2 linked regions of the Anolis sagrei genome follow. The protein of the gene in region 2 interacts with the protein of the main gene of each other region in a biochemical or structural test. Links are inferred from orthologs where the notes say so. Each region holds a gene or a part of one and is shown on either strand. Other genes may lie near its edges.

Region 1 (3,912 bases), on a different chromosome or scaffold from region 2:
CCTGCTACTTGGGAGGGTTGGACTGGATGGCCCACAAGGTCTCTTCCAACTCTATAGTTCTATGATTGTAGACCAGGCATGGACAAACTTCAGCCCTCTAGGTGATTTGGACTTCAACTCCCACACTTCCTAACAGCCTACCGGCTGTCAGGAATAATGGAAGTTACTGGCTGTCAGAAATTATGGAAGTTGAAGCCCAAAACACCTGGAGGGCTGAAGTTTACCCATGCCTGATATAGACTTATATAAATTATCACATTACACTGTTGAAGCACTGTTGTTCCACTTTAAATCCTATGACAGCCCCCTGTGGAATTCTGGCCTTTGTACGTAATGAGGCCCAGGACACATCCAGTTTGGAATTTTGAAGACCCCTCCCTAAAGTGCACATCCCAGGAATCCAGAGGCGGCAGGCATGGGATTTAAAGTGGAATAACAGCACTCTTAACAGTGTAGTGCAGGCATGTGCAAACTTTGGCCTGGCAGGTGTTTTGGACTTCAACTCCCATAATTTCTAAGAGGGCCAAAGTTTGCACATGCCTGTTGTAGTGAGCTCAGCTGCACTGAATGAATGTACCCTGACCATATGATACAGTCTGAAACTGCATGAGAAGCTGCAGTGTAGTTGGGGGCCAGGAAAGGGCGGTGGCAAGGGACAACAACAGTTCTCTTGGATAGAACTTACCCTTTATTAAATTTGAGGAGAGGGTTAGAAATAAATAAGGGGGGGGGCAGTTTTAATTTCTAGCCCAGGCATAGGCAATCTTTGGCCCTCCAGGTGTTTTGGACTTCTACTCCCATCATTCCTAACAGCCACAGGCCCTCCTTTCCCCCCTCAGCCACTTAAGTGGCCGAGGGAGGAAAGGAAGGGGCCCGAAGTTATAAGGAGCTATGAGAGTGTAAATCCAAAAGACATGGAGGGCCCAAGTGTGCCCATGTCTGATGTAGGCACACCGTTGAATATATACCGTTGGACACTACTTGAACTGCCATGGCTGTTAGGAGTGGTGGGATCTGCAGTCCAAAACACCTGGAGGGCCAAAGTTTGCCCATTTCATTGAATTTATGCTGTTGGACACCACTTGAACTGTCATGGCTGTTAGGAATGGTGGGATCCGCAGTCCAAAAGACCCGGAAGGCCGAAGTTTGCCCATGTCATTGAATTTATGCAGTCGGACACCACTTTAACTGCCATGGCTGCTAGGAATGGTGGGATCTGCAGTCCAAAACACCAGGAGGGCTGAAATTTGCCCGTGTCACTGAATTTATGCAGTCGGCCACCACTTGAACTGCCATGGCTGTTAGGAGTGGTGGGATCTGCAGTCCAAAACACCAGGAGGGCCGAAGTTTGCCTGTGTCATTGAATTTATGCAGTCGGACACCACTTGAACTGCCATGGCTGTTAGGAATGGTGGGAGCTGCAGTACAAAACACCAGGAGGGCCAAAGTTTGCCTGTGTCATTGAATTTATGCAGTTGGACACCAATGGCTGTTAGAAATGGTGGGAGCTGCAGTTCAAAACACCTGGAGGGCCAAAGTTTGCCCATGTCACTGAATTTATGCAGTCGGCCACCACTTTAACTGCCATGGCTGTTAGGAAGGGTGCGATCTGCAGCCCAAAACACCAAGAGGGCTGAAGTTTGCCCATGATATTGAATTTATGCACCACTTGGAACTGCCATGGCTGTTAGGAATGCCTGTTCTAAGCTATTGCCTCACACTGCTGTGTTAATTTAAAGGGGGGGGGGGAACGCCCCCTCCTCCCCAAAAAGAAAAAAAGACCTATCTACGGGTCATTCCAGACGGACCCTCTATCTCAGGATCTGATCCCAGGTGGTCTGCTTGAAACTGGGTTATAGGAGCCCACAGTGCAAGATAGTCCGGGATAAACAGAAACGACCTGGGCTCAGATCCGGGGCGCTAGGCCTCTCTCGCTCCCCCCCTTCCCGTTGGAGGCCGCCCCTTCCTCCCTCCCTCCCCTTGTTCGCGCGGCCCAGGAAGCAGGCCGAGGCCCTTTGCGGCCTAGAGCGGCGGGCCAAGCCTGCGCTGGAGTAGCTGCGGCCGGCCCTCCTCCCACACTCCGCTGCGGCGGCGGCGAAGGAGGTACCTGGTAGGGCTGCGAGTCCCCCTTGCGGTCGTGACAGCTGAAGGGAGAGAAAAAAGAGAAACAGTGGCGTTAGCGAGAGAGTGGCCGTTACTGGCGGTTGGGAGAGAGGGAGGGGAGGAAGGGGGAGGGAAGGGGGGGGCGAGGAAGATGGAGGACGGGGGCTTATTTACCCATCATTGAGTCTTTGCTGTTTCCTCGCATACATTACCATCAATGCCCGGCCTGTGAGAGAGAGACTGAGGGGACCAGGAGGAGGAGGAGGAGGAGGGCGCGGCTGGGCCACGGACGGGGAAGGAAGGAAGGAGGAAGGGGAGGGAGGAGGAGGAGGAGGAGGAGAGAGGCCCAGCGGCGCTCACGGGCCCATCGCCTCGCCGCCCAACGGAACGCAACGCGGAAACGCAACGCAGAAGGAAGGAAGGCGAAGGCGGCGACGACGACGACGACGTCTCCCCCCTCCCGCCGCCGCCACCACCGTCTCCTCCCCCCTCCTCCTTCCTTCCTCCTCCTCCTCCTCCCTCTCCCTCAGTCACTGCTCCCAACACTACCGCCGTCCAACTACATCCGGGAAACTCAAGCGACGACGCCTTCGCCAAACGTCGGCTCCGCTCGGCTCTTTCCGCCCAAGCTCCTCCCTCTCCTCCGCCTGCCTTCCTCTTTTCGCGGCTTCGCACTTCGGGTATCCTCGGCCGCTTCCGGACACCAGCCGATCCCTCCCCCTTCGGGTTTGAAGAAGACACGCCTTCTACTCATCTTCGGTATTTTCCGGACCAAGCCCTGCTTTTCGGGCGACGTCGGCTCTCTCCGCTCCTGCCTTCTTCGCCGGGGAAAGGCATCGGGTGTTTCCGGAAAGAGCCGAGAGACGGGCGAAGACTACTACTACTACTACTACTACCAATAATAATAATAATAAACTTTATTTATACCCCGTTACCATCTCCCCATGGGACTCGGTGCAGCTTACATGAGGCCGAGCCCACAATACAACAATACAAGCAAAACAAGCAATAACAAATACAATACAAAGCAATTAAATGGTGATTATGATAATAAAAACAATCGGCGCTGACAAAATTACCCTCTGTCTTGTTTACTGTGTACTAATCTTGTTGTGTATCTAATAATAATAATATTAATAATAATAATAATAATAGCATATAATAATAATAATAATAATAATAAGTGGTCCCAGTGGTGATCAGCACACTGGGTGCAGTGCCTAAAGACCTTGGCCTGCACTTAATAATAATAATAATTATTATTATTTATTTATTTATTTATTTATTTATTTGTATCCCGCTTTTCTCCTGTGGGTAGGATTCAAATCGGTGTGTTGTTGTTGTTCATTCGTTCAGTCGTCTCCGACTCTTTGTGACCTCATGGACCAGCCCACGCCAGAGCTCCCTGTCGGCCGTCACCACCCCCAGCTCCTTCAAGGTCAGTCCAGTCACTTCAAGGATGCCATCCATCCATCTTGCCCTTGGTCGGCCCCTCTTCCTTTTGCCTTCCACTTTCTCCAGCATCATTGTCTTCTCTAGGTTTTGCTGTCTCCTCATGATGTGGCCAAAGTACTTCAACTTTGTCTCTAGTGTCCTTCCCTCCAGTGAGCAGTCGGGCTTTATTTCCTGGAGGATGGACTGGTTGGATCTTCTCGCAGTCCAAGGCACTCTCAGCACTTTCCTCCAGCACCACAGCTCAGAAGCATCTATCTTCCTTCGCTCAGCCTTCCCTAAGGTCCAGCTCTCATATCCGTAGGTTACTACAGGGAATACCATGGCTTTGACTAGGCGGATCTTTGTTGTCAGTCT
Region 2 (3,912 bases):
AATGTTGCTAGAAGACACAAAGAATACATCTCCTTGTCAATTTGCTCCTGGAGTTCCTTGGAAGAAATTTTACTAGTTACTGCAACATCATCATGTTTCACAGCATGGGCTGAGTGCACTGAAGTCGTCTGGCTAATATCCTCCTTCCCTTTTAGGATCTCTACAGTTATTCTATCTCCATGCAGCAGAGGAACAGGTTCATTTTCCTGCCCTTCTTTGGGTGGCAAAAGCTCTTTGGGAGGGAAGCCAAAACGGATACACTGCAAATGGGAAGGAATACTAAATTCTCTAGCAATGCTCTCTTGCAATTCGACAAATGTTGTTGTGGACTTCAAATTGAGCATGGCCTGCCGCCCATCATTTGTTGTTATACGTATTTTCTTTTCTTTTGTAGATGTTGGGGAATAAGGAGTCTTGGTTGGGGTAGCGGGTGCAGAAGATGACCCGTCAGGGACAGCACCTGGGGAAGTAGTTCGAGTTGGCCCTTTCTGCACCTGTTTCAATTTGTCCGTTTTCCGCTTCTGCATTATAGGCGCTTGCTCTGCAATGTTTTGCTGAATGCTTCTTTCGGTCTTACTCATGGTCAACTCTTCTTTGTGCAGCGTTTTTGTTTTCTGTCCCGTAAGAATAATTTTAGTTGGAAGCTGAGATTCCAAGTCCTGCCCTTGTTGCACATCATCAGCTCTTCTGGCATGAGCACCATCAATGTTTACAGGGGTATAATCATCGGGGTTCTTTTTGGCCGTCTGATGTAGAATTGTATTAACAACCTTTTGGACAAGAATCTCGCTCCCAAATTCTCCCGGAAAATGCTTAGTAACAAGTTTCATTGCAACATCATATACATTGCTGTTCAGAGATGGATCACTCTCATACTGGAACCAGTACACGGTCTCTCTCACCACTCTCCCGCCCCACTCCAAAGTAATAGGGAAAGCTTCGGGGAGATTGTCATACTCTTTGCCTTCCCAAAAATGCTTAAATCCACAGCCACATTTGCCACCTGTGGATTTAGTATTTGTTCTATCCCCATCCAAATACACAACAGAGCCATCACTCCTCACACGACGCACCAAGGTGCCATGGCACAAATTACAAGCAGTCAGGCTACTCAGACCATAGTCTGGGACAAGTACATCCTTCACAGGGTTATAGGAGCACACTAAGCTATTAAGGGGGAAACTGTAGTTTTTGTCTGGTCTTAGCTGGCCATGGGTAGTTTTTGCTAGATTATACAGTTTCCCCCCTGGAGCCAACCACTCGGGAGGAACGTGGAGTTCTGAAAGTGCACCACAGATCAGACACTTGTGAAGGCGGTTGTCCATCACGGCTTTTTTAGCGGCGGCCGTAACATCATCAGGCTGAACTCCAATTACACCAGTTCGTCTGTAGAAATATTGATGTACGTCGGCCACTAAACTCGGGTGAATGCCGTGCTTATCCATAAACACTTCCTCCATGGCGGCAACGAGCCTCATCAAGTACTTGTCTTGCAAACTCCGATCCCCTCCAATCACGCAGCTGCCGTCCTCTTCCAACTTGATGTACTTCTTGATAAGGTCCTGAGGCACTCCCCACGCTTTGGGAAGCAGTTTCAGAGGCAACTTCGGCAAAGCAGCACCTTTGATCCCCACCAAGGGGATGTAATGGTTACGCCCCGAGCTGCTCCAGGCGATGCAGATGGGCTTGTTGAGCGTGCCGTCCTTCCCCGTGCACTTCTCCTCCGGGACCAAGCCGGGCAGGAAGGTGGCGGAGTAGTCGCCCGAGCTGCGCATCCCGCTGAGGGAGTCCAGGAGGATGATGGGCCGGCGCAGGACGTTGGCCAGGCCGAAGATGTGGATGTTGCGCAGGCCCATGGGGACGCCCTCGGGGGGCACGAAGAGCGGGTCGCACTCGTTGACGATGTCGTCCCACTCGGCGGCGTCAATGAAGTCGTGGAAGAGCACCTTGTAGCGGGCCAGGTTCTCCACAAAGTGGGCCTTGAGGTTCTCCCGCAGGGCGTGCCAGAAGAGCTCCCGGCCCACCAGCGCCCGGGAGACGGCGTGGACCAGGCAGTGCCCATCGCCGTCCACGTGCACCGGGACCAGGCACTCCTCCCGGCTGCGGTTGGCCCGGCGGATGTCCTCCAGCGTGTCCTGCAGGTAGAGCAGGCTGCCGGAGCGGTCCTTGCCGTAGCCCACAGTGTCCACGTGCTCGGGCTCGATGAGGAAGGCCCGGTCGCCCAGCAGGCTGCAGTCGAAGACGTCGCCTTGCTTCATCTCGGTCAGCAGCTTGGCCTTGCCCGTCTGCTTGTCCATGCCGTAGCGGGCCAGGATGGGGGAGAGCAGCTTGCAGTGGTAGTTGGACAGGCCCATGACTTTGACGGGCTCGGTGCTCTTCCGCGGGGGGCCGGCCCCGCTCACGCCCAGCAGTGCGCTCCGGAGCAGGTTGTGCAGCACCAGGTCCGGGTCGGTGACCTCCTCCACGGAGAGCAGCTGCCGCCCCTCGTGCCGCCGCCCGCAGTCCGTGCACTCCACGCTCCCGGCGCTCAGCGGGCCCCCCTGCACCGCCGGGAAGAACAGCCGCGCCCCGCACTTGGGCTCCGGGCACGTCCCCGAGAAGATGCGCCGGTCGCGCTTCGACGACGACGACGAGGAAGAGGAAGAGGAGGCCGCCGGCGGGTCCGGCTGAGGCGGCTGAGACATCGCTTCCCGCCTCGCTCCGCTCTCTCCCCGGCCTTCTCGCCCCCTCACGGGCTCATTCCCTCTCTCCCCCTTCCTTCCTTCCTTCTCCCTTCAACACCTGACAGAACCTGACAGAACCGGCCTCCGCTTCCTTGCTTCCTCTCTTCCTTCCTTCCTTCCGCCAACTAACTGCCTCTTCACTGCCCGACTTAACGGCCTTTCCCCTTCTCCTTCGACGCCCACCACGGGAATTGTAGTCCCCTCCGCGCCGGAAGTAGCTGTCATCCCAACGGCGCCGCGCAAGGCGCACAACTACGAGGACCGTCATGCAACGCGGCGCAGGAACCAAAACGAGCCTGGGAAGTGTAGTTCTTCCCCTCCCCGCGTTGAAAGGGAATACGTTTCCCAGAATGCTCCTCGGCGTTCCTCGGGAGTTGGTTGCCGTGAGGAGAGTGACGTCGGCGGCGCGTTCCTTCTCCGTGAAGGCCGCGCAGGGGGCAGAGAAGGGAGCAGCCAGGGGGCCCTCCACTACACAGCCCTCCAGCCCAGAAGGTCCAGGCGGGAAAGCCCACAGTATCTGCTTTGAACTAGGACATATGGCAGGGTGGGCTCAGGGCCCTTCCACACAGTCCTATAGCCCCGAATATCAAGGTGGGAAATCCCACAATATCTGCTTTCAACTGGAATATATGGCAGTGTGGACTCAGATAGCCAAGGGCCCTTCTACACAGTCCTATATCCCAGAATATCAAGGCAAAAAATCCTGCTTTGAACTGGGATATATGGCAGTGTGGGCTCAGGTAACCAAAGGCCCCTCCACACAGTCCTATATCACAGAATATCAAGGCGAAAAATCCCGCTTTGAACTGGGATATATGGCAGTGTGGACTCAGATAGCCAAGGGCCCTTTCACACAGCGCTGTAGCCCAGAATATCAAAGCTAAAAATCCCACATTATCTGCTTTGAACTGGGATATATGGCATTGTGGACTCAGGTAACCAAGGGCCCTTCCACACAGTCCTATATCCCAGAATATCAAGGCAAAAAATCCCACTTTGAACTGGGATATATGGCAGTGTGGGTTCAGATAACCAAGGGCCCTTCCACACAGCCTTATAGCCCAAAATATCTAGGCTAAAAATACCACATTATCTGCTTTGAACTGGAATATATGGCATTGTGGACCCAGGTAACCCAGTTCAAAGCAGGTATTGTGGAAGATTCTGCCTTGATATTCTGGGTTATATG

The links.
Region 1: the proteins of VCPIP1 (region 2) and WAC form a complex in vitro, tested with the Homo sapiens proteins (2 studies listed by BioGRID). The link is inferred for Anolis sagrei from reciprocal best matches to the Homo sapiens genes VCPIP1 and WAC.

Annotation. Positions count from the first base shown.
Region 1 is NC_090026.1:110,880,698-110,884,609, reverse strand, and holds the start of WAC (WW domain-containing adapter protein with coiled-coil), read right to left. Parts: upstream 2,632-3,912; 5' UTR 2,319-2,631; coding exon 2,278-2,318; intron 2,145-2,277; coding exon 2,108-2,144; intron 1-2,107.
Region 2 is NC_090024.1:45,411,036-45,414,947, reverse strand, and holds the start of VCPIP1 (deubiquitinating protein VCPIP1), read right to left. Parts: upstream 2,948-3,912; 5' UTR 2,685-2,947; coding exon 1-2,684. UniProt on the Homo sapiens protein: Deubiquitinating enzyme involved in DNA repair and reassembly of the Golgi apparatus and the endoplasmic reticulum following mitosis. Necessary for VCP-mediated reassembly of Golgi stacks after mitosis.